Mus musculus: one gene and its partners. The protein of the gene in region 7 interacts with the protein of the main gene of each other region in a pairwise test. Links are inferred from orthologs where the notes say so. Each region holds a gene or a part of one and is shown on either strand. Other genes may lie near its edges. The genes, in order: Ift20, Krt20, Trip6, Dtnb, Etl4, Tle5 and Abi2.

Evidence for each region.
Region 1: the proteins of Abi2 (region 7) and Ift20 interact in binary tests that used the Homo sapiens proteins (3 or more experiments, as listed by UniProt). The link is inferred for Mus musculus from reciprocal best matches to the Homo sapiens genes ABI2 and IFT20.
Region 2: the proteins of Abi2 (region 7) and Krt20 interact in binary tests that used the Homo sapiens proteins (3 or more experiments, as listed by UniProt). The link is inferred for Mus musculus from reciprocal best matches to the Homo sapiens genes ABI2 and KRT20.
Region 3: the proteins of Abi2 (region 7) and Trip6 interact in binary tests that used the Homo sapiens proteins (3 or more experiments, as listed by UniProt). The link is inferred for Mus musculus from reciprocal best matches to the Homo sapiens genes ABI2 and TRIP6.
Region 4: the proteins of Abi2 (region 7) and Dtnb interact in binary tests that used the Homo sapiens proteins (3 or more experiments, as listed by UniProt). The link is inferred for Mus musculus from reciprocal best matches to the Homo sapiens genes ABI2 and DTNB.
Region 5: the proteins of Abi2 (region 7) and Etl4 interact in binary tests that used the Homo sapiens proteins (3 or more experiments, as listed by UniProt). The link is inferred for Mus musculus from reciprocal best matches to the Homo sapiens genes ABI2 and KIAA1217.
Region 6: the proteins of Abi2 (region 7) and Tle5 interact in binary tests that used the Homo sapiens proteins (3 or more experiments, as listed by UniProt). The link is inferred for Mus musculus from reciprocal best matches to the Homo sapiens genes ABI2 and TLE5.

What each region holds. Positions count from the first base shown.
Region 1 is NC_000077.6:78,535,192-78,539,160, forward strand, and holds the start of Ift20 (intraflagellar transport protein 20 homolog), read left to right. Parts: upstream 1-1,169; 5' UTR 1,170-1,385; intron 1,386-3,318; 5' UTR 3,319-3,547; intron 3,548-3,642; 5' UTR 3,643-3,644; coding exon 3,645-3,771; intron 3,772-3,969. UniProt on the Homo sapiens protein: Part of intraflagellar transport (IFT) particles involved in ciliary process assembly. May play a role in the trafficking of ciliary membrane proteins from the Golgi complex to the cilium.
Region 2 is NC_000077.6:99,435,354-99,439,443, reverse strand, and holds the start of Krt20 (keratin, type I cytoskeletal 20), read left to right. Parts: upstream 1-1,290; 5' UTR 1,291-1,346; coding exon 1,347-1,757; intron 1,758-3,928; coding exon 3,929-4,011; intron 4,012-4,090. UniProt on the Homo sapiens protein: Plays a significant role in maintaining keratin filament organization in intestinal epithelia. When phosphorylated, plays a role in the secretion of mucin in the small intestine.
Region 3 is NC_000071.6:137,309,399-137,311,441, reverse strand, and holds the end of Trip6 (thyroid receptor-interacting protein 6), read left to right. Parts: intron 1-610; coding exon 611-789; exon of another isoform or gene 790-841; intron 842-1,036; coding exon 1,037-1,157; intron 1,158-1,267; coding exon 1,268-1,399; 3' UTR 1,400-1,543; downstream 1,544-2,043. UniProt on the Homo sapiens protein: Relays signals from the cell surface to the nucleus to weaken adherens junction and promote actin cytoskeleton reorganization and cell invasiveness. Involved in lysophosphatidic acid-induced cell adhesion and migration.
Region 4 is NC_000078.6:3,571,181-3,575,190, forward strand, and holds the start of Dtnb (dystrobrevin beta), read left to right. Parts: upstream 1-1,210; 5' UTR 1,211-1,467; exon of another isoform or gene 1,468-1,729; intron 1,730-1,803; exon of another isoform or gene 1,804-2,052; intron 2,053-4,010.
Region 5 is NC_000068.7:20,288,654-20,292,712, forward strand, and holds the start of Etl4 (sickle tail protein), read left to right. Parts: upstream 1-1,259; 5' UTR 1,260-1,353; coding exon 1,354-1,388; intron 1,389-4,059. UniProt on the Homo sapiens protein: Required for normal development of intervertebral disks.
Region 6 is NC_000076.6:81,564,658-81,566,871, forward strand, and holds the end of Tle5 (TLE family member 5), read left to right. Parts: intron 1-15; coding exon 16-60; intron 61-155; exon of another isoform or gene 156-190; coding exon 191-253; intron 254-634; coding exon 635-709; intron 710-814; coding exon 815-1,036; 3' UTR 1,037-1,714; downstream 1,715-2,214. UniProt on the Homo sapiens protein: Transcriptional corepressor. Acts as a dominant repressor towards other family members. Inhibits NF-kappa-B-regulated gene expression. May be required for the initiation and maintenance of the differentiated state.
Region 7 is NC_000067.6:60,451,119-60,454,618, forward strand, and holds part of Abi2 (abl interactor 2), read left to right. Parts: intron 1-2,485; coding exon 2,486-2,644; intron 2,645-3,500. UniProt on the Homo sapiens protein: Regulator of actin cytoskeleton dynamics underlying cell motility and adhesion. Functions as a component of the WAVE complex, which activates actin nucleating machinery Arp2/3 to drive lamellipodia formation.

The DNA of each region.
Region 1 (3,969 bases), on a different chromosome or scaffold from region 7:
CTATATTAAGTAGCATATCCTTTTGATGGCTTAATTGCTTTCAGTGATGGAACATGGAGGAAACGAGCTCCGGGAGTCTGACAGTAACACTACAATGCTAGACTGGTGAGCGACTGACCGCCTTACCTCAAAGCGGGAAAAAAATCAACTCCTCAACAAGTTTTAGCAAGTTCCTCACATACTTTGTGTGCAGTCCCATTTCCCCAGAATCAAGGAAGCACATAAACACGTTCTGCCAAATCAAAGAAACCCAAGTGACTAGGCTTGCCAACTGAGGAAGTCAAATCCGGAGCTAATCTATTCTTTTCCTCCTAAGAGCTACTTTGAGTCCTAGATGACGTCAGACCAGATTCCACCCAGACCAATTAGGTCCAAGAGTCCAATGGCAGGTGACGCCCTAGAAAGAAATTTCTGAGAGGATGAAGTTTCCACTGATAGTTTCAGGGCTCTTTCCTCAGGACTTCGCCTGTGGATAGAGGGGTAATCCTGGGGCTGGGGAACATACACGTGTCTCTATGGGAACCTAATGCGAAGCCAAGCAGAACAAAGCGCAAACGATCACGGTAGTTCAAAGACTTGGGGTTCTAAAGGAAGGACACGAGGTACGGCGAGGTGGGAAGGCTGATTTTGGCAAGAAAGGTCAGAAATCGTGGAAGCGGCTCTTATGTTTCACCCAAAGGCTCTCCAGTGGAAATGGAGAAACATCCCATGTCTCTCGTTGCAGTGTAGGCTGCTCTCCCGCCACACCCCTCCTCTTCTGAAAAACTGAGATCCGTGGTGCCTCCCATCCCCAGAAAAGACCTGAACTTCATCCCCGCGCGCCATCCCGTGCCTTTTGCCCAGGACTCAGCAGAGCCTGTCCTTCCCCTCTGCACCCGCACCTCTGGCTCTCACCGTCCGCGGGGACGCCTCTCCGAGTCTCAGTCAAGTAGCAAGCGGACTCGGTGCCACCTCTGGCCTGCGGCTGCCTGCAATCTCGGCTGTGAGCTCACATCCTGCGCCCGCCGACTCCGGAGTTACAGCCCAACCCTACAGATCGGGAAAGAGACTACAAGACCCGGCATGCACAGCGCGCGAGCTAGCAGTGGGTCGAAAACTTGACGTTTGACTTCCTTCTACTTCCGGGTTCGGGAACAAATCTACTTCCCGTGTCGTAGTCCCCGCCCCCTGAGCAAAGGCTTCTGGGCCTAGTGGGCAGTTATCGCGTGTTGCATCTATTTCCCAGCAAGCACCGCAGGGTGGGCGGATGCTGGTGCTTCTGGACTCGGGGGTGACGTGTGGCTCCTAGATCTTGTCTCCGTGGCAGCAGCCGGTTGCAGTTGCCGGAGAGAAGCTTCTACCGACAGTCGTCAGGGCCGCAGAGCGCTGCCGAGGCGGCTCGTCAGGTAGGTCGGGGACGTGGAGGACTTGGGACGGGAGGAGGCCGACGTGACCCAGCGCCGAGGATTGGCTGGACCGGGTGGAAAGCGGCGGTTTCCCTACCTCGGAGTTTTTAGGGATCGGGTTTACACTCAGCTCAGCCTGGCTCCCTCGATGTCACCGGTGAACCGAGGTTCGGACATTGCAGGAGTATAATTTAGTAAAGACAGCCGCGCCATTTGCCCAGTTCTTCCTGTGTCTACGCCTTCTCCAAACTCCACAGCTACAACTATTTGTTGTGCCTGCGGACCTGGGAGAGCCAGGGAGCGTAGAGCCAGGCACAGCCTTCATGCTTAGGAAACTCAATCCCACGTTCCTGGAGCATATTTGTGGTGGGAGTTAGGGGTGGGCTGGGGATCTGATAGCCCGCTATGTACCATATCTATCTTACCCATCTCTTTAAACTGTCCTTTCCAGCCATACTCTCGGTCCAATCCAGATCCATGGCAATCGTGTTTGGCTCCTTTCTTCACTTTTCTCCAAAGTGCTGCATTAAGCATTACTAAATTCTGTCAATTCAGACATCATCTGATCTCTGAACTCCCGTTCGGCTTCAAATCTTTTCTTCTGTTACAGCCTTCTGTTTCCACATGAATTCATTCATTCTGCAAACATTATCAGAGTGCCACTTACCTGCAGGCAGCCTGCTTAGAGATGCTTGGCTCACAGTGAGAAATTTGGAAAGGACGCCTCTATTCTGCTCTTCCCTGTTCCCTCTGTTTGGCCAAGGCAGTGAGTGATCTTTCCAACTCTGATCAATAAGCACTGCCGAAATCCACTGCTAGCGGTTATCATTATAAAAAATAATCCAAGTTCAGCTGGGTGTGGTGGCGCATGCCTTTAATCCCAGCACTTGGGAGGCAGAGGCAGGTGGATTTCTGAGTTCGAGGCCAGCCTGGTCTACAAAAGTGAGTTCCAGGACAGCCAGGGCTACACAGAGAAACCCTGTCTCGACAAACAAAACAAAACCCAAGTTCATTTACTCATCCAGCTATAGCCGGTTGCCAGCCTTGCTCCCTCTTGCTGTTTTGATCCCAGGACCCTTTGTGTCAAAATCTTCCAGCCTTAGGACGCCCCCATATGCTTTTCCCTATGCCCACAATGTCCCTCTCCCTTCTCTTAGAAGATTTTCTGGACGTGTTTAGGTCCCAGATTGTTTTTTCTGAAGGCTTTTGTTGACCTCTCTGCCTACTTGAGTTATGTCCTCCTGTAGAATCCTGACAGAGCACTGAGCGCTGTTCCTCATACCCTGATCACAGTTTGTGTTTATTTGCTTACTGTCTGTCTAGAGACACTATGTTCACTCTGTCCTTGGAGCTGGGATTCAATAAGGGTTTTTGTTTTTGATAAATGCATGTTAACTCAGAAGGCAGTAGGAGTTCAAACAAGTGTTTGCAGTCTCATGTCATATGAACTCTTCCATAGGACCTGGTCCAGTTAGTCCCTAGGAGCTCTTAAATACTCAAACTATCCAACTAGAACAACACAGGAAGGCAATTGTTTTTTTGTTTTTTGTTTTTTTGAGACAAGGGCTTGTGTAGCACAGGATAGCCTGGAACTCAGTATGCAGCCCAGGTTGGTCCTAAACGTGTGTCAGTCTTCTAGCAACACAGTGAGTTGCTAGAATTAGAGTCACGCATGACCATAGCTAGCTTTTAACTCTCATTTTAAAATTCATCCTTTTTGTTTTGTTTTGTTTTTCATTTCAGGGCATGCATTTGAAAAGCCTTTTTGGGACCTTAAACAGGGATTTATGACTATGCTTTTATCTCGCTCGCAGCTTAGGCCAGATACACCCAAGTGAACTGAAATTGTCTTTTCTCCTTGCTTAGTGATATTTCTGTAAAAATCACTTGATGCAATATAATCCTTCAGGTTCACGTGTCTGTTTTCCTCCAGCTAAGCTGTGCTGCTCCAGGGCAGGCACCATGTTGCATTCATCTTTACGCCCAGCATCTAGCAGTGTCGGCATGTAGTAGGCACTCAAGAAATGTATGTTGAATGAACGATGTCTGTGACAAGCAACTGGACTTTCCTCTTTCCTGACCCTTGCTCCTATGACATACCTCCTGATTGCCACTGTCACCCCTTCAAAGCAGACCTCTAGGGCTTCCTGGAAGGGAAACAGGTGAGGCTGAGAGCTGGAGGCAGAGGGATGGGTGTATGAGGAGGGCTGGGGTGGTGTCTGGGATGAAATTCAGGTCGCTGCTGGTTTCTCTGCAGCTATGGCCAAGGACATCTTGGGCGAGGCAGGGCTGCATTTTGATGAACTGAACAAGCTCCGAGTGTTGGACCCAGAGGTCACCCAGCAGACTGTGGAGCTCAAGGAGGAGTGCAAGGACTTTGTGGACAGTGAGTACCATCTGGAGACACAGTGTTGTTCTGCTTTGAGCAGTTTCCTTACCTGACCTTGGCCATTGTTCTTGGGTCTACCAGAATGAAGTTGCGTGCTCTCTGGATTGAGCCTGGTCTCTGGGTTCCCATGTGTACCCAACCTTCTCTGCTTGCCCTCTTACACTGCCATGGAGTCCCACATTTAGTGCCAAGCAA
Region 2 (4,090 bases), on a different chromosome or scaffold from region 7:
TTAGGAAGATAGAAGCAAAAAGAATCCCCTGGTGGTGTCTAGCTGGCCTCAGACAGAGGAAGCAGTATGCAATATATGCAATATGCCAGTTATTAAAAGCAGGAGTTTCGCAGTAATTTAATGTTGCTGTTTCTTTTTTAAGAAGCACTAGATTTAAAAATATTTGCAAGATTCTTATAACAAGTTTGTTTTTGTTTTTGTTTTTTTTTTTAAATAAGGTCCCCTTGCTAACCTAGATGTTCCTGGCAGTTGCAGGCTGCTGGGAGCCAGGCAGAGGATCTATGACCTCTGACAGGCTGCTCACACACCCAGTCCAAGGCCGCACACCCACAAGCATACAGGCAGCACTAATTAGATCCAGTTGGTTATTTTTAAAAAGAAAAAGATAAAAAGAGGTATGAAGTTTGGGTGGGGTTGTGTTAGGCGCTTCGGAGGCAGCTGGAGAGGCGAGTGGGAGAGGAGTTTATCAAGATACGCTACATGTGCATGGATGAAATTATCCAAAAATGCTATTTAAAATATCTTTTTTTAAAAAACTCCAAAATCAACTGACCCACCGCCCACCGATAATCATTTACATATTCACCTACTGACCGTATTCAATTCTTAAACGGGGGTGGGGGGAGCTGCACTTTGAGACAGTGTCTTGTTACACAACACTGGGCTAGACTGGAACACCTTACTTCAACCAGGCTGGCCTCAAACTAGTCCTGATCCCCCCCACCTCTGACTCCCGGGTGCTAGAATCTCAGGTGCACACCCACACACCCAGCTTCACTCAAGACATTTCAATAGACTGTAAATATAAATTCTAAACAAGGATAAACTTAAAAGTAAAAAAAAAATTTAAAGAAGCATAAAACATTTTTTAAAAGAAAATCATTTGAACAAGCCATTGTCTTTTCTCACCAGTGTGACTTATATTATGTTCCCACAGCTGTCTTGTTCGATGCCTGAATTATTCATATAGATTGTAAATATTCTTTATTTGTATACAGGATGAAAAAAAAAAAACCTGCCAGGGCAGGTGCAAGACCTGAAAGGACACCCCTTCCTCGTCCTTTTTGTTATCTCTGTTTATTAAAAAGAAACCTCCACTCCCACCACCCCCACAGGAAAGCCTTTAAAAAGTGCCTCTGGTAGAAATTTCTGGAATGGAATGAAACGTATTGCCGTACAAAAGAGGGGGAAGGGGAGACAGGAAGGTGGACTGTGTCATTCCTGAGGTGACACGGCAGCAGAGGAGGAGTCTCTTGAACTCTATAAAAGGTCATCTCCACAGCAGCCCGAGACAGACAGGCTGTGCTCCAAGTCCAGGCTACAGGCGTTGCCTCCCTACATCCCAGATGGATTTCAGTCGTCAAAGTTTTCACCGAAGTCTGAGTTCCTCCTCACAAGGCCCAGCACTCAGCATGAGTGGCTCGCTGTATAGGAAGGGGACTGTGCAGCGTCTGGGGGCTGCACCCAGCGTCTATGGTGGGGCTGGAGGCCATGGCACTCGCATCTCTGTCTCCAAAGCCGTAATGAGCTACGGGGGTGATCTCTCCAACGGATCGGACCTGTTTGGGGGCAATGGGAAACTGGCAATGCAGAACCTGAACGACAGATTGGCAAACTACCTAGAAAAAGTGCGCTCCCTGGAGCAATCCAATTCCAGACTTGAAGCCCAGATCAAGCAGTGGTACGAAACCAACGCGCCGAGCACCATCCGAGACTATAGCTCCTACTACGCACAGATTAAAGAGCTGCAAAATCAGGTGAGCCATGAAGCCTGTAATTTCTACCTCACTGTTTAGTTGCCTAATGGATTGAGAGATGTATGCTAGGTGAATTCGAACACATGAAGCAGATTAGGTTGAAATGTATAATTGAAAAAAAAATGTATTTTATCATGTGGTATCTGTAAACAGGATGAGTCTAACTCACATTTTTTCTAAAACTTCAACTAATTATATATAAAATATGATCATTTTATCATCCAAAATTGCAGTTCAAATCTTTGTTATGGCTTACAATATAAGGTCTTCATTGTGGATAATCTTATTTTTCAAAGACCTCCAATGGTTTCTATATGTGAGTTTGCCAGTAGTCTTTACTAACTTTGAAGACTCAAGTTGATTTAAAGAGATTTTTCATCTTTCATTATATGAATGTTATAACAAATATATTAACCTACTATGGGTATAAATAACAAAAGGGTTCAGGGTGGATACAGATTACAGATATTAATGATATGTATACTGATTGATAAATAGTTGTGTGATAGGGGATGGATGGATGGATGGATGGATGGATGGATGGATGGATGAACTGCTCTTTGATACAAGATCTGTGTATCCCAGGCTAGTCTGGACCTCACCATCCTCCTGCCTCCACTGCCTCAGCACTGGGGTTAAAGAACTGTGCCACCATACACGGTTCTGATACCTGGATTTTTTAGTGTCTTATTTAATTATCTCCTCACTATCACCAAGCATTTTATAATGCACCTCTGTGATAATAAAATGTTCTATTGCCCCCAATTTAAGTTTATTACAGTCATATCACAATCTGTTCCTGTGTCATCCATGGTAGGTGGGGTTCCCCTTTCTATAAAGCCAATGGAATAAAAGTGGGAGACTTCGCTCCTGACTGAGGACCTCAAGCATCGGCACACACCATTTGCCCAGCCCCGGGGTTCTTATCTCATCAGGAAAAGCCTCCCCTTGGGTTTTGTTTAAATCTCGAAATGATTGCAAAGGCCTTTAGAGCAAAGACCTTTGTCTTAACCACAGGCCTCTTGTCTTGAGTTCTGTTTGAATTACAGGCATCAATGCAGCTTAATTCAGACTTCATAGCCCATGAAGCTGTGTGGTGCTTACATTGCCCTTCTCATCAACAGGACGGTCCTTCAGGCTTCTCGATACAACACAAAATTCAAATTAAGCACTTCTCTCATGGTTGACGCTTTTGAATTGACTTGGGGATTACCCATAGTACTTAGGCACAGCCATTAGTGACCAGTGGTTAGGGACCTCTCTCCAGGAATAGCCGCTGAAAGGGATATGTCTAAAATCTTCTAGAAGTAGACTTCTAATCTACTTCTTAATACGGTGTTTGCCTTGAAACATGAGAACCTGACTTCAGTCCCCAGGTTACAAAGCAAAGCTGTAGAATGACTGTGTGTGCTTGTACTCCCAGCATTGGGAAAACAAGCAGATTCCTGGGACTTGCTGGTCAGCCAGCCTGGCCAACTTGGTGAGTTCCAAGACAATGAGAGACCCTGCCATACACACACACACACACACACACACACACACACACACACACACACAAAGGTAGCACTTAAGGAATGGCATGTAAGATTGTCCTCTGACCTCCACATACATACACCTGTGCATATAAACATGTACACACAGAGAGAGATGCACACAGATCCAGGATGTATCCATCCTTCTGTCCTGCGCCTAACTCCTACAGATAGCAAGTGCTTTAAGTGGAAACAGGCACAGACCACAGAAACCATCACTCAGAGAGGTAGATGCAGGGATGCTGTGCAGGGCAACAGCCACGGCGGCGCATTCGCTGCTATAACTGGAAGATATCATGGAGGGGCCTTGAAAGTGTTGTCTGAGCTGAGAGGTGAGGAAGCTGGAGCTCACCAAGTGAGAAGGGATAACAGCAATGTTCCAGTGTGAGCAGCGCCACAGACAAGGCGCTCACAGAGGCCCAGTGATGTGGGTGGCTTCAGCTCTCATTTTGTACAATCAGGAAGGAACTAGGCCAAATCATGACATGAATACCTCTGTCACTGCTCTTCCATGGTCATTTGCGAAATGGGCATCACTTGTGATTTAATCACAGTTGTCTCTGAGGACCAATAAAATGATCTTACACTCCTGCCTGCCCAGGGAAAAATGTCATTCTTCCTTCCTCTCACATTTCCCAGGTTAAGGATGCTCAAGTACAAAATGCCCAGTGCGTCCTGCGAATTGACAATGCTAAGCTGGCTGCAGAGGACTTCAGATTGAAGTAGGTTCTCTAAACCACGGTAAAAATATGTCTTGGGGGTGTGTGTGTGTGTGTGTTGTTTGTATGCATTTGTATGTAT
Region 3 (2,043 bases), on a different chromosome or scaffold from region 7:
CAGGGCTTCGTGCATGCTGGACAAACACTTTACCAACTGAGCTATGGCCCCAGGCTAAGGAATGAGTTAACTGTGGAGACTAGATGAAGGAGGGAAAGACAGCTCCTCCTTTCAAGCGGGTGGGTGCCTGCCTGCCTGCCTGCCTGCCTGCCTGCCTGCCTGCCTGCCTTCCTTCCTTCCTTCCTTCCTTCCTTCCTTCCTTCCTTCCTTCCTTCCTTCCTTCCTTCCTTCCTTCCAGACGGAGTCTTACTGTGTAGCCCAGGCTGATCCTAAAGTTATGGTTCTCCTGCTTCAGCCTCCCAAGAGCTAGGAAACCGGATATGTGCCACTGTGCCAGCTGGAAGGCATTTTAGAGTTGAGGTTATTTGTGAAAATCTGACAGCATTCCTCAGAGGCATTACTGATTCATCTCACTGAAAGATGAAGTGTGTGGAGACCAAATCCCTTGTCTAGAGGCTTCAGTGCTGCTCTTAGACCTCAGAAATGCTAAGTCCACCTTCCACTGAATCCCATGCAGGGAACTACACACACCAGATGGCTGGGCAGAGAGTACTCCTTCCTGGCTGGAGTGGCTTCCCTCCACTGACCTTCCTTCCTCTTTTTTCGTTAGGCCACCCTGGAGAAATGTTCCACATGCTCTGAACCCATCCTGGACCGAATCCTGAGGGCTATGGGGAAGGCGTACCACCCTGGTTGCTTCACCTGTGTGGTATGCCACCGTGGTCTTGATGGCATCCCGTTCACAGTGGACGCCACCAGCCAGATCCACTGCATTGAAGATTTCCACAGGTCTTGCCTGGATTCAGCATGTCTTCACTGACCTATTTCTTCATGTCCCAGGGTCTGCCTCTTCTGTTTCCACCTTCTGGTGCTCTCTTTCTTTGACACCACTTTCTTCCCCAAGACCCAGACACATCTCTTATATCCTTCTCATCCCCACCCCTGCCCCTTCCACCTTCATTGGGCTTCATTTTGAGTCTCCTGATGGTGTGGGAGGGAGGGACCTGATAGCCTCTTTGGTTCCCCTCCACTGCAGGAAATTTGCCCCACGATGCTCAGTGTGTGGTGGGGCCATCATGCCGGAACCAGGTCAGGAGGAGACGGTGAGAATTGTTGCTCTGGATCGAAGTTTCCACATCGGCTGTTACAAGTGTGAGGTGAGGGGGGGTCCCTGGGCAGGAGCGAGAGCTTTGCAGAGCCCGGGAAGCTGGGGGAAAAGCACTGTGGGAAAGTCCCAGGCTAATGAAGGTTTTGTTCTTTCTCACAGGAGTGTGGGCTGCTGCTGTCCTCTGAGGGAGAGTGTCAAGGCTGCTACCCGCTGGATGGGCACATCTTGTGCAAGGCTTGCAGCGCCTGGCGTATCCAAGAGCTCTCAGCCACTGTCACCACTGATTGTTGACTGCTCTGAGAAGTACCTGCTGGGATCTCAGCCCCCGTCCGTCCGTCCGTCACTTCCCCCAACATCTACCCTTAGTGTTTGCCATCAAATGCTGTCTTTTCTTCCTCTCTTCATGAAATAATAATCCCTGGAGCATTTAAAAGCACTTCCAAGTCTGTTCTTTATTGGAGTCTCACAGGATGAGGCTGGTGAAAGCTTGAACTCCAGCACTCAGGAGGCGGAGGCAGAGTGTGAGTTTGAGCCCAGCCTAGTTTACATACTAAGTTCCAGGACAGTGAGGGGCTACATAATGAGATCCTGCATATCTTTTATTAACTCTCATCCTGTACTATTGTTGTTGTTACATAAATTAACCTGTTTACTGTAGGCTAGGGATGTCTCAGATGATTGGATTTCTGCTGGTCTTTCAAGTCCTTCAGACTTCTGATGCCAGATACAACAGCAGAAGTGGTGTCGCAGATCTGGGCTGCACCAGCCACCACAGTGCCAGATGCCAGTGGCCTGTTTTCTTCATCTTGGTCTTGCTCCAGAAGGAACAAATATACCTGGTGTGCTCATCGATTTCAATTTTCCATGCCATTCTCCAGAGGGAGGCATCATCTCGGATCCTATGTTTACTTACGATGCTGACCTGCTCGGTGCAT
Region 4 (4,010 bases), on a different chromosome or scaffold from region 7:
GCCAGTCTGATTGAAGCAGGTGGCATGATCTGCCTTTCCATAAGGTGCCAGAAGGCTTCAAAAAGCATCCCTAAAGCACACAGGCCTACTGCTGCTTTCCTTAACATGTGCACATCCACACGCACCAAAAGTCTAATGGATCATGCCGCTGTCTTAAAGTTGAGGGAAAACATTTATCTTTTGAGCCATTAAAAGAAGACTTTGATGTCCCTAGAGAGTTTGGAAAAGCTTCTATAAAAAATGGCAATATGAGGGGCTGGAGAGATAGCTAAGTAGTTAAGAGCACTTGCTATGTTATCAGAGGACCTGGGTTTGATTCCCCAGCATCCAGGTGTCATTTCACACTCTTCTGGCCTCGGGGTGGCACTCACAGGGTGCACACACATTGCAGCCCAAACACTCATACACATAAAATAAAGTCCTTTAAAAAAATGATATGAAGCGGGGGGGGGGGGGGGGGGTAGTGGCGCACGCCTTTAATCCCAGCACTAGGGAGGCAGAGTCAGGCGGATTTCTGAGTTCGAGGCCAGCCTGGTCTACAAAGTGAGTTCCAGGACAGTCAGGGCTACACAGAGAAACCCTGTCTCGAAAAACCAAAACCAAAAAAAAAAAAAAAAGAGTTGGTAATGAATAAATAAATAAATAGATGCTAGATAAATAAATGAAGCTTTGTCGCCCCTGCTCCGTTGCTCAAGCTGTTTAATGTCTAAATAGTCCCACTTTTAGGAACTACTGAACAACTAAGCGGAAAGTAATGTCTCTCCTTCATCCTCTCACCGCATCCGGCTGTGGCTTGGCTTTGCGCAGGGGACCAGACTCGGTCCTTCGCAAGGCTGCTCTTCTCCCTAAGTTATGCATTCTTGGGGACCAGGGGCCGTGACCCGGATCGTGTCCATCGGGCACCAGGCGCGGAGTCAGGGCTCAGCGAGCCTGCTGAGGCAATGTGGAAAGTCACTCGGGGGAGGACCCGCGCTCGAGGCAATGATTCACCGGGTGTTTCTTCGCATTCCTTAAGGTGCAGTCACGTCGGCGCAGCACGCAGCCGCCCGGCAGCTACCTGTGGAGTGGAAGGGCAAGTCCACCTCCACCTCCGCGGCCGGCGCACAGCAGAGGCCCGGAGGGGGCGCGCGAACCCGCGGGAGGGCACTCGGCCGCCTCCCCGCCCCCTCTCGCGGCGGAAGCCCCGCCCCTCCGCGCGCCCGCCCTCCGCGCGCACCCGCCCTCGCCCTCGCGCCCTCGCGCCCTCGCGCCGGGGGCGGGCTCGCTGCGCGTGCCGGGCGGGGAAGCGGCGCGAGCCGGCGCCGTTCCGTTCGCCGCGGGGGCGGCTCCGGGGCCTGAGTGGGCGCCGCCGCCTCAGTCGCTGCTTGCTGCTTCAGCCGCCTCAGCCGAGGGGGCCGGGTTGGAGGAGGCTGCGGCCGCCGGAGAGCCACGCGACGGCCCCTCAGCTCCGGCCGGGAAGCGAGCCAGGTGGGGAGTCCGCCGGGGCTGGAGGAGCGAGAAGGAGGGCTGCGGGGTGGCGGAGTGCGCGGCCCTGGAGCGGCGACCCTTGGGAGACAGCACGCCGGGCCGGGGAGGGCTCTCCGGTCACCCGCGCGCGCGGGGGCCCGCGGAGCGCAGAGCCGGGCTGCGCGCGCTGCTGATGCATCCTGAGCCCGGCTGGCGGGGAGGAGGCTCCGCGTTAGGTGCTGAAGGGGGCGAAGGCGGCAGGTCCTGGCAGAGGGCAGGTGAGGTAGGCAGGCCCTGGCAGAGGGAAGGGAATTCATTCCAGATCACCTCTCAGTGTCCCCCGAGGCTCCCGGTAGACGAACCTGTCCACCCAGGTCACCCCTGTTGGGCACAGTGTCCGGAGAAGAGGGAGGATGCAGCTGACGAATGCTTGCTGTTAAATTTCTGTGCCAGGCCTTAGGGAATCAGGGAGACCTTCCAGCATTCTCTGCAAGCGTTTATTGATTAGCTACGGAGCAGGAGAGAACCGCGGTCAGCGCCTGGGTCACGACTTTATCACTCTCAGCCATCTTTTGCTGTTGAAGTGCTGACAGTTCGGCTGTGAAAGTATGCACACAAAATGTAAAGTGCTCTATTTCATGTTTCCTGTTCTGTTCACTTCAGGTCCCTTTAGGATTTTCCCAGCCCTGGGAAACTGGAGCCGTAAGTTGCTTGGTTTGTGGAGAAAGTAAGATAGTTGAGGAAAGCTGGTGGGAACTATTGAGAAGAGATTTGAAGGATCTTACTGACATTTAAAAGAGGGGTGGGGAGGGGGAGAAGAAATCTGGAAGAAGAATCTTGCCTTCCCAGCTAGAATTAAGCTCCGTGCCTGTTTTCTGTTCAGTCCTCCGGATGTGGCCTGGATCCCAGCAGCCCTACAGTGGATGCCCACTGCAGAATGGATGGAGGAAGCAGGGGCTTGAGTGTCAGTCTCTGTAGAGTTAGGGATGATCGCTGGACTTCCTTTGGTCCTCGGATTCTCTTTTTGCCTCTTCAGGTAACCCAGGCACTGGTAGGTTAAAACAGTGGCTTAGGTGGCAGACTCCGGTGGCCTGTGGCCACTCTTCTTCATCCACGTGGTTCTTGCATGTTGTGCACCAGGAGCTTAATCTCTGGGTGGTGCTCTGGTCTTTTCTCTCTTTGGCTTTTTTCTGGTCGTTTGAGGAGGATGGGAGGGTGCTTTTGCTTAGAGAACACTTTATAATTTCTGTCCTGCCTCTCGGATCTTGGTTCTGAAGGGAGAGAATGCTTCTTTCTGTCTCTTTAGTTCTGTAAGGGCTGGACTTCTGTCCTCCACCTTGCCTGGACTCTCCAGTCCCAGGCTGCTGCTTCCTTTCCCTCGCTTGCAGTGCCTGTTGGATTACTTTGCTTGCCAAAGTAAAACTTGACCTTTTATGTGTTCTCTGAGGATTTTTAGCAGACTTAAGTGGAGCTACCTCTGAAGGGGTTGTGCAGTCAAGGTGGTGCTGGCAGAGTCTTTATGTTCACTGAATTTTGCCCAGGAGACAGAATTTCTACTTAAAGTATTAGCGTGCAGAGGATTTCCGTTTATCATTTATTTCATGTCTTGGATGTTAACATAACTGACTCCTCATATAAAAAATGAGAGCAATATTAATCCAGACTTGTCATTGCATGTATAATAAGCCTTCATTTATTTTATTTTAATTACTCTGTACTTCAGAGTATAATCATTAAGTTTCGATTAGGTTTTGTTTTAGGGTGCCTTGTTTCAGGCACTTCTAACATTTTATTTAGATATTTAATTTACATTTATTTGAAAATAAACCCTCTGTCCCCGGTTTTTTTTTTTTTAAATAGGCTCTTGCTGAATAGCTCCAGCTGGCTTGGTACTCGATATACTGTAGCCCAGGTTGTAAGCTGGCTTTGAACTTATGGCTATCCTTCTATTAGTCCCTTCTGTGAACCACCATACCTGATTAAAACAAACCTTTTCTTTCGTCTTTTGTCTTTTTCCTTTTTTTTTTTTTTTTGATAGGGTCTCTCTGTGTCATTCTGACTAACTTTGAACTTGTCTATCCTCCTATCTATGTGCCCTGGAATTACAGGTGTGCACTACTGTGCTGTCTTGATGTGTAGTTTACATAGGATGAGATGGGTAGATTTTGCATGTTGAGCTGGGTGTTTATAAAATGGTACATATTGTGGGTGTGGCGGCGCATGTCTTTCCATCTCAGCCCCTGGGAGGCAGAAGCGAGTTCATTACTTCACAGTGCCACCACTGCCTGGCTCTGAATGGTTTTTAATGGAACCCAGAGAATGCTTTTAGATTTGTTACAAGAAGATATCTAGGGCAGTGGTGGCACAAGCCTTTAATCCCAGTACTAGGGAGGCAGAGGCAGGTGAATTTCTGTGTTCGAGGCCAGCCTGGTCTACAAAGTGAGTTCCAGGACAGCCAGAGCTACACGGAAAAACCCTCAAAAGACAAAAAAAAAAAAAGTTTATTTTCTCTGGCACTTCTTTTAATCTGAAAGAGAAAAGAATAAGAATTGGAGGGCTGGAGA
Region 5 (4,059 bases), on a different chromosome or scaffold from region 7:
AAAAGAGTATGCATACAACCTCAAAATGAAGTGGTTGTAGAAACAGCAGTAGAAGCTTGAGCACAGACTGACAAAGCTGATGGTTTGTTCATTGCTCTGTGCTATATTTTATTGATAATGAAGCTAACTAAATCTCTGGGTTCAATGTCTCAGAGTCACACACCTCAGGCTTCCTGACACCTGGGACATTCATCTCTCCTAGACTATACATAGTATATAGACGACCATTTTGACTCCAAAGCCATGCTTTTAATAAATAATTAAATACAAATTTAATGTTTTAAATAATAGTTAATTGAACTCAGTACAATAACTAACTTGAGTTCCATGAGCTAGCCCATATTCTGGAAGTTTGAGTCAAGCCCCAAAAGTGTTTTCCAATTTTGGTCAAGGAGGTCTTTCTTATGGTCGTCCACTATTTCTTTCCACTTGAAATGTGTTTTTCTGGACCCCAAGAGGGATTTATAGCAACAAGTACCCATGGAGAAAGCACTGCTCATCTCAACAGTTGGTCTATTCTGTGTGTACCAGGTTCACTGCCATCAGCAAAATCACCCTAGCTCCTAGTCACATGGAGGTCACTGATGGTAGAGGAAGAATGGAATGTCAGCTTTAGTTTTCAGGGGCTTCCCAATGACCCTAGATATTCCCTACATAGATTTGCTTGCCATCCTCTGCAATAATTTTAAAATGTTTGAGGCTGGACAATTTTATTTAGGCAGAATTCTTTGTGATGATCCACCCTCTGAATTTGTCCACAAGCTCACATCATTTCCCACTTAGCCTGGGATTATATGACTAGCTTAGTCAGAGAATGCAGTCTCTCTGAGTGCTGTGCTCTCTGGGTCATAGAATACAGTTTTTCTGTATGCTGTGCTCTCTGAGGACAGTGCATGGCATTAAGTCACAGGGGACTCAGCTTCTCTGTGTCATTCTGATTCCCAATCAGCCTTTCCTCATGTCCTCTTGCCCTTGACCATAGAAACCTGCTGGTATTTTAAAGGTTGGTCTAGTTTAGTGTGCAGTGTGTTTACCTTGCCTTGTGCTATCCAGCTCATGTTTTGGTTAAAAAACAAAAGATGGAAAACTACCAGTTAAGAGCACTGAGCTTGAATAGCCATGCATATGATTCCAGTATATCCCGTTCCACATACCAGCACTTTTTCAATCAGTCTGAGACTCTAATTATTCACTAAGCAGTTACTGAGTGAAGACTTACAGTCTTGTTTGTATTTTACAGATGGAAATACTGGGATCCTAAGTTTGTAACTGACCATACCATACTCCAGAGACAAAGGTGGAACTGCAGCCCAGGACCCCTGAAAGTCGCCCTCAAAGGATTATACTACTTATATGTCACTCTGTCCTCCACCCTGTTGTCTTCTTAGGTGAGTTCTGACTTTTTACTGAATCATGAGATGAGTGAATGAATTATTAGGCAAAGCAATATTTGTAGAGTGTGGCTTCTGTAACTCTTCCCTGAGCTCAGGGACTAAAATGTCTCAGTCAAACCATGATGCTTTCTTACACATACTCCTGAGATGCAGCTGAATATTGCTTTACCTGTTATTTATTGATCTTGTAGAGGATAGCATGAGCATATGTACAAATTTTCAGGATGGGTATTATGTTATTTGACATTGATATGCCTATCTTTCTGTTCAGACTCTGGCTAGAAGCCATCATAACCTCTATAGAATAAGAAAATACTCAAAGACCATGCATGCTTTCTTTGTCCAAATTGGTCTGCATGAACGGCCTTGCATCTTTAGACCAAAAATGACCTAGTGAAGTTAGCCAGATTCATTCAGCCTGAGCTTTCACCACAAATCCATCAGTTTAATATCATTGGACCCAGAGAAAGGTCACAAAGAGAACAGTTCTTACCATGGTGGCATTCTTATTTAACTTAGTTCTTGGTTTATCCTAAATACTTTCTGCATAGTGGTGCCCCAAATCCCTGAGAGAACAACTTAAAGGCAGAGGGGTTTATTTGGGCTCACAGTTTCATGGGGTTTATTCCCTGGTCACGTAGCTTCACCTTGTACAGAGCAACATGGCATCAGGATATATGACAGAAGACACCTGTTCACTTCCCAATGAACAAGAAGCAGGGGAAAATAGGAAAGAGCCAGGCTCTACCCCCAAAGTTTCCCAAACCTCCCAAAACAGTACCATCAGCTCAGAGCCAGGAGTCCAACAATATGAACTGTGTGGGAATTTCATATTGAAACCCAGTCCGAAAGTCAGACACATCACAGAGCCAGCACACCAGACAGAAGGCAGGTCCTGGATATGAAGTTTTAGGAGTCATTGATAGGAAGCTACTAAGCTGTCCTTCAGCAACTTCAGAAGCAAGAACTTATAGTTTCCAGGTCAGTATCAGCTCTGATACACGAAGTTCCTGGGGTGACCAGGCTTACAAAACAGTGTCTGAGTTGAGAGAGCTAGAGTCTGCTTTGAGTCATCTGGGAAGTTTCAGGGCTGTCGGACTTGATCAGAAAAAGGCCACATGTGAATAAGGGGCTCTATGTACTGAAGCCTAGAGTGACTGGCTCTGTTCACTCTTCCAGAAGCTGCCAGACCTCAGAAATGGAATCGAGAGGGTTCTTCACCCTAGTGATTTACTCTGATTTCCCTTTGTACACATATGGACTCTATTTTCTACTGTCTTTATAAATATTGTTGTGACTGCCTCTGCCAAGCTACCTTTCTCACCCCAGGGAGAAGCCAAAGAGCAGACATTCCCACACCACCTCCCACTCCCTTCCTATTAGATACAACTGCAAGGGACAGGAGCAATTTGGCTAGTCAGAGTGATGTGTGTATGTGAGTCTTTAGAGAGCCAGGCTAAGCTCAGAGTCAGGGGGCTTCAATAAATAACCTGTGTCCCTCTCTGTGTGTGGTTGGGGCTGGAATGCCTTTCTCTTTAGAGTTGTCCAAAGTATCAAAGATCAAAGAGTCAACCATGGCTGGATGTGCTGCTCACTACAAAGCCTCCATTCTCTGTGGGAGGATTCTGGCGAAAGCAGCAGTAATTCTCTCTGGTGACTACTTGCTGATGGTTGGGGTTGGAGGGCTCTCAAAGAATTTACAACTACTTTAAAGGGCTTTTTAAAAAAAAATACAGATGAGAATTCACTTTCAAAGGAACTGAAAACTGGCATCTTTTTGGGTGTGGAATGTGGTAGAAGGGCGAAAAAAGTAAAGAAATTGACCCATTACCACATGGAATGTGGTTTGGGTTGGTCTGGAGGGGGAAGAGTGGCCTGTGTAATTTATACACCGTTGGGAAAGCACTAGAGGCAGCCTTTGATAAGCAGAGCAGAACATATCCAGAGATTTTTTTTTTAATCCCCAACTAGATAATATATTTGAAAAACACACTTTGAACTTAGTTTGCTAGGGTTTGGAGGCAAAAAAGTGTGTTTTGGTTTTCAGTATTATAGATAATCACAATGCACAAAGTGAGAGCTGTTCTCTGTCCCATCCATGTGTGCCTCATGCCTAACAGTTATGTGACATCTTTAATCCTCATAGTTGTGCCAAAGGGGAACGTTTTGTTACCTACCCATTAGAGAACAGGCTCTGCATGGCTGATGTCGTGCTTGCTTCAAGGTCATGCAGTTGTTCAGTGGAAAGCTGAGCATTTGAACAGAGCTCTGGAACAGAGAATATCTGACTACCATTTAGCCTGTGGTTAGTGCTTCTGGCTTCTGTTGCAGTGTCTGGCATTATGGAAGCTGATGGAACTCTTGCTTTCTGAACTTGAGAGTGTCACAGAAATATAACGATGGTTCAGGCTCAACTAGATGATCCCAAGTCCAATATGCCTTGCTCCTCATTGCACTGTATCACGTAAGCATGATGTGGCTTATAGACCTGCTTCATATCACAGGCACATTTTCCATTGGAAAGTGTCCTAAATTGTATGATAAAGAAACCATGTTAAGTGGGCTAGAGAGATACCTCAGTGGTTAAAAGCACTGGCTACTAATCCACAGGACCCAAGTTTGATTTCCAGAACCCATTTGGCAGCTCGTAACCATCTATAACTCC
Region 6 (2,214 bases), on a different chromosome or scaffold from region 7:
CTCTCCACCTCACAGTACTATGAGATGTCCTACGGATTGAACATCGAGATGCACAAACAGGTAAGTCTCACTGTCCTCCTCCATGTCCTCAATGCCCTGTGATTCCCAGACTGAGCGTTAAGGCCACTCCCGTTACCCCCTCCCACCCCTCCAAGTGCCCCAGGTACTGAGGGAAAATCGTGTGTTCCAGGCGGAAATTGTGAAGAGGCTGAATGGGATTTGCGCCCAGGTTCTGCCCTATTTGTCACAGGAGGTAAGCAAGCCACCAGCAGGGGGCAGTGGGGTCCCCTCCGCACCTTGCTGAGCACTCCCTGGGCACGCACCTGCCCTTTCTGAGCTTAGCAAAGGTGAGACGTGGAGCAGCTGCACTCAGACCCCTGTGGCAAGGCAGAAAGAGCTCCCTGGGTGGGCGGGCACAGGCGATGGGAGCCCCCCCCCAGCTCTAAGGAAATTCCTGTGAAGTTGGATTCCTAGTCTCCCACCCCAGCAGCCCCTGAGCCCCTAGGACAGGACTTCTCTTGCGCTTTTGCACTGGTTGCCTACTGCACAGGAGTCGCCATTCCCCCGCCCCCGCCCCTCAGTCCCTTTCCAGCTTTGCCTGAGAGAACTCTGTCCCCTCCCTTGCCTATTCCAGCATCAGCAGCAGGTCCTGGGAGCCATCGAGAGAGCCAAGCAGGTCACGGCTCCTGAGCTGAACTCCATCATCCGAGTAAGTCGGAGCCTCTGGTGGACTGGGGACTGACTTGACCTGGGTGGCCAGGGTCAGGTGACAAGACCCTGGGCTGACTCTGTCACCCCCACCCCCACCCCACAGCAGCAGCTCCAGGCTCACCAGCTGTCCCAGCTGCAGGCGCTGGCCCTGCCCCTGACACCGCTGCCTGTCGGGCTCCAGCCACCGTCCCTCCCTGCAGTCAGTGCAGGCACAGGCCTGCTGTCACTCTCTGCTCTGGGTTCTCAGACCCACCTCTCCAAGGAGGACAAGAACGGACACGATGGGGACACCCACCAGGAGGATGACGGAGAGAAGTCGGATTAGCTCTTGGGGAAGGGGGAGGGGGGAGACCAGGGGAGACAGGCACAGAGAGCGCAGTGTTCTAAGGGCCACACAGCACACAGCTCTGTCACTACCCAAGCTTACACCTCCAGTCCTGGTTCTGGCTGTGCACCCTGGGCCTAGGGGACGCCAGAGGGACACCCCAGGCTAAGGGTTCTTCCCCACCTTCAACATTTCCCTGGGCCACAGCCACCAATCTCGGCCCAGAATGTACACAACGCTAGCTGCCCCTTTCCACCCTGTGCACCCCGAATCTGCCCCTATCCCCTTCTCTGCTTCCTGCACTGCACACCTGCTAGTCCCAGACCCCTCCCCCCAGCTCCCCCAGCTCCGGTTCCCTCAACCACAAAAGAAGGGGACAGAGAGAAAGCATTGGCTCGGGACTGCAGTGGGGGTGGGCACCCCACAAACTTCCCTCCCCTCTTCCCCAAATAAACGTGAGGGTTAAAAGTTGGTTTGTTTATGATTTCTTTCTTGTGCCAGTATTCTATAGCTATCATCTCAGAAAGGAAAAGAAGGAAGCCCCAGGAGTGTCTGTCATAGGGTTAGCTTTGTTGGTCGCCTTGGTCTCTGTCCAGAGGTCAAAGGCCAAGCCGCTGTACTGAGGATGGGGTCTAGCTGTGCCTTCAAAATAAAAACATGAAAAGGTTGGCCACTGTGTCCCTGCTTCTGTCTTGTGGGTGGGGACCCCTTTCCTCAGGGCACCCCGTGTCCTGCAATAAGACATCCCTGGAGCAACCAAAGACCCAGAGAGGGTGAGCTGGGGACCTGGGCCCAGACAGTGCAACTCAGTGCTCAGATTTCACACTGTTTTGGCAGGGTGGCTGTGGTACCCACATGGGTCCCTTGGTTACCTTCTGGGAGATGGCCTGGATGCTCCCTGTACCCCTCCCAAGCTAGGCTGTCCCCTGGGCATGCGCCTCGGTTTGGGGACCTTTTCCTTTCTTGTTTTTCTGAAACAGGGTTTTCTCTGTATAGCCCTGAATGCCCTGGACTCATTCCTCAAACTCACAGAAATTTTCCAGCCTCTGTTTTCCAAGGCCAGGGATTAGTCTTGTGTGCCACCTGTTTTCTTTATCTGCTTTGTTTTCTGTTTTGTTTTTCTGTTTGCTGGTTTATCATGTCTGTGTCCTGTTTGAGGACGCCTTGCAGGGATCTGT
Region 7 (3,500 bases):
TGAGCCATCTCTCCAGCCCCTGAAAAATATATTTTAATGCAATATTTTATATAGCAAATTACAAACTATGTTTATAATAAACTCATAAATTATACTTCAAAGGACTTTAAGATTATTTAAGTTGACTGATGTTTTATTTAAGATTTCAACCTAGTGCTAAGGAGATGGCTTAGCAGGTAAAGGGCTTGCTGCCTAGCCAGACAGCCAGGGTTGTATAAGTTGTCCTCTAATCTACACACGCACACGCACACGCACATGCACACTCTCTGTTGTATGAATGTGCCCTCCTTATAAATAAATGTAATCAATCATTTTAGAAAAGATTTTAACCTCAAATACATTTTGCTGGGATAGGAAAATAAATTTAACTGTTAATATGATGCTGGTTAGTAAATGTATCCTTTTTTTGAGACAGGGTTTTTCTGTGTAGCCCTGGCTGTCCTGGAACTTATTCTGTAGATCAGCCTGGCCTCAAATTTACAGAGACACACCTGCCTCTACCTCCCAATTATTGGGATTAAAGGTGTGTACCACTACTACCTGGCTACTAATAAAACATGTTTTAAAAGATGTCTTTGTCCTAATTGGATTTTGAATGGTATTCTATTTAGATAGCTTCTATAATAATCCTTATGAAGATTTTTCTGTAATGGATGAGTAAAAATATGGACAGTCATTTGGTTGAGATATACAACTCTGTTACACTAGTCCAACTAGTTAAAAAGAGAAATCTTGCAAATGCCCAGAAATAATAAATGGCCCCTAACTAAGAGTTAATTTTAGCAGTTAAATGATAACATAATAATAGGTACTTGGCTGTGCTTGATAGACTTAATATTGATGAGAATTTAGAGTGGATCCAACTTTATAAAATTCATAGTTTTCTTTTTTGAAGATCTTAGGCAATGCTTTTCTCCCTGTTGTCTTTTGCCCTTTCTCCTTTTTATTTCCCCTTTTTCCTCTTCCCCTCATGGTATAGCTTCTCCTCCTCTTCCTGTCTTCCTGTCATTCCCTTCCTTGCATGCCCTGTTGCTTGCTGGTGTTCTTTCATGGGTGGCCTTTTCCTGATATAAGAGGGCCCCTGACTGAGTGGGCACCAAGTGAGGGTAAAGGCAAGGTCGGATTTGAGTTATAGATGGAAACTGGGTGGATTAGGAAAGAATGTTTCCGGTTGATGTTAGCAGTGTATAACTCTGAAGAGGTAAGATAGGTTGAAATGAGTTATAAATGGATAGGTTTCTGGGGTGATGATCATTTTTGATTCAGATTTCATAAACTATTTTATGACACAATCTGGCTATAAGAAGATGAGTATATTGAATTGTATAAAGATGGGTTTGACTTGGCGTTAAAGCATCAAATGTTTTGTTGAACTATTTTGTTTCCTTTTAAACAGTGTTTTTTGTTATCACCACCTATTTTAGAATATGGCTGTATCAAACATTTTTTTGTTTTGTTTTTGTTTTTTTCCCCCAGAATTTAATTCTTCGTTTAGTCTCCAATGTTTAATGGCTGCTTTAAATAATTATTTTTTGGACAGGAGGGGGAAATTAATCTCTTGTGTCCTATAACAATACTGTAGACTAGATTATTTATAAATTATATTAGTCTGACTATATTAGTTCTGGAGGCAGAATATCTAGTATCAAGGTTCCTTAATCTGGTGAGAGACTTTGTACATAGAATAAAAAAGGAGAAAATCCACTTTTGATAATGGTATTACTTACTCATGAGAACAGAACCCTTATGACCTGATAACTGTTTACAGCTGTGGTCTTTTAACACTGGTGTGCTAGGGCAACGCTTCCCAGCCTTCCTAAGGCTGTGACCCTTTAATACAGCTCCTCAAGTTGTCATGACTCCAAACGTAAAATTACTTCATTACTACTTCATAACTGTAATTTTAAAACTGTTATGAGTTGTAATGTAGCTGGGCAGTGGTGGTGCATGCCTTTAGTCCCCACACTTGGGGATTGGGGTGGGCAGAGGCAGATGGATCTCTGTGAGTTTGAGGCCAGCCTGGTCTACAGACTGAGTTCCAGAAAAGGAAGATAACTCAGAGAAAACCTTGTCTCACAAAACCAAAAAAGAAAAGAAAAAAAGAGAAATATAATGTAGATAGGTATCTGATACGTAGGCTGTCTGATGTGTGACCCTTGGGGTGAGAATAGTTAGCTATACTGGAGACTTGGTGTTGGGACACATTCTGTCTGTACATTTTAATTAATTGTGCTTTTAAAAAAATAGTCAATTAAAAGAAAGTCAAAATGTTAGCTTTTGATTTAGATGTTAGTTTTCCAAATGCAATATTTTAATTTTCTTACCTTTATGCTTTAATACAGTATCAGCTGTCATCTTTCATTAATTTGGATAGATACTGTGGTTTTTAATAATCTTACTAGAAAGTGAATGATATACTTAGAAAATTTCATTATTTGAGATGAGTTTCCTTTAATGATGCGTTTGTGTTCTGTTCATTTTCCAGGTCATCCTGTTCAGTTCTACAGCATGAACAGGCCTGCCTCTCGCCATACACCACCTACAATAGGGGGCTCGTTGCCCTATAGACGTCCTCCTTCCATAACGTCACAAACAAGCCTTCAGAATCAGATGAATGGAGGTCCTTTTTATAACCAGAATCCAGGTTAGATTTCTCTTTATCAATTTCTTTTCATCTCTTTTATATTGCACCATAAAAAACAAAACCTTTTTGTTACACATAATTAGCCCATACATGATAGGTGTTTATCCTAGACACATTTGGTAGTTTAGACTATTGTTGAATGAATAGAAGGATGGATGAATACTAAGTTTTTAATACTACTGTATTTTTACTTTAAAAAGTCAATACATGATTTTTATGTAAAGCTAAAGAGCTCATCCTGCTCTTCCTCCATTGGAATAGTTTTCTGTGTGCCTAGTAATTTGCTTTTAAAAACTAGTACTGAATTGGGGCAATGCTGGTGCACATCTTTCCAGCACTTGGGAGGCAGAGGCAGGTGGATCTTTGACTTTGAGGCCAGCTTAGTGTATACAATGAGTTCTAGGATGACCAGCTACATTCATGGGGCAGAGGCAAGGAGAGAAGCCAGTCTAGGCTGCAGAATGAGAGCCTGACTCAAGTGGAGTGTATATAAGAATAGTATTTTTGTTTAATGAGACATCATTGCTCTATGAATTACACAAGTAGGTGTATAGAAAGGTGTTTTGCATTAGGCAGTCAAACTGTCTTAACATAGTTATTAAATCCAATACTGTGGTGGGCTTTGGAGAAATCGATTCACAAAAATTAAATAAAGAATTGAATCATATATTATAGAAAAGCTACCCTTGCACATTTAATGCTACAAATAATAGTATTTTGTTCCTTCCTTGGAGAATGCAAGAGAAAATTTAGACGTATCAACTACATGAATATATTATGTTAACGTACTGTTTAATTTTTAATTTTGGCTAAGAGGTAATTAAGCCTGTGTGAGGTCCTCTGACAAATCATTCCA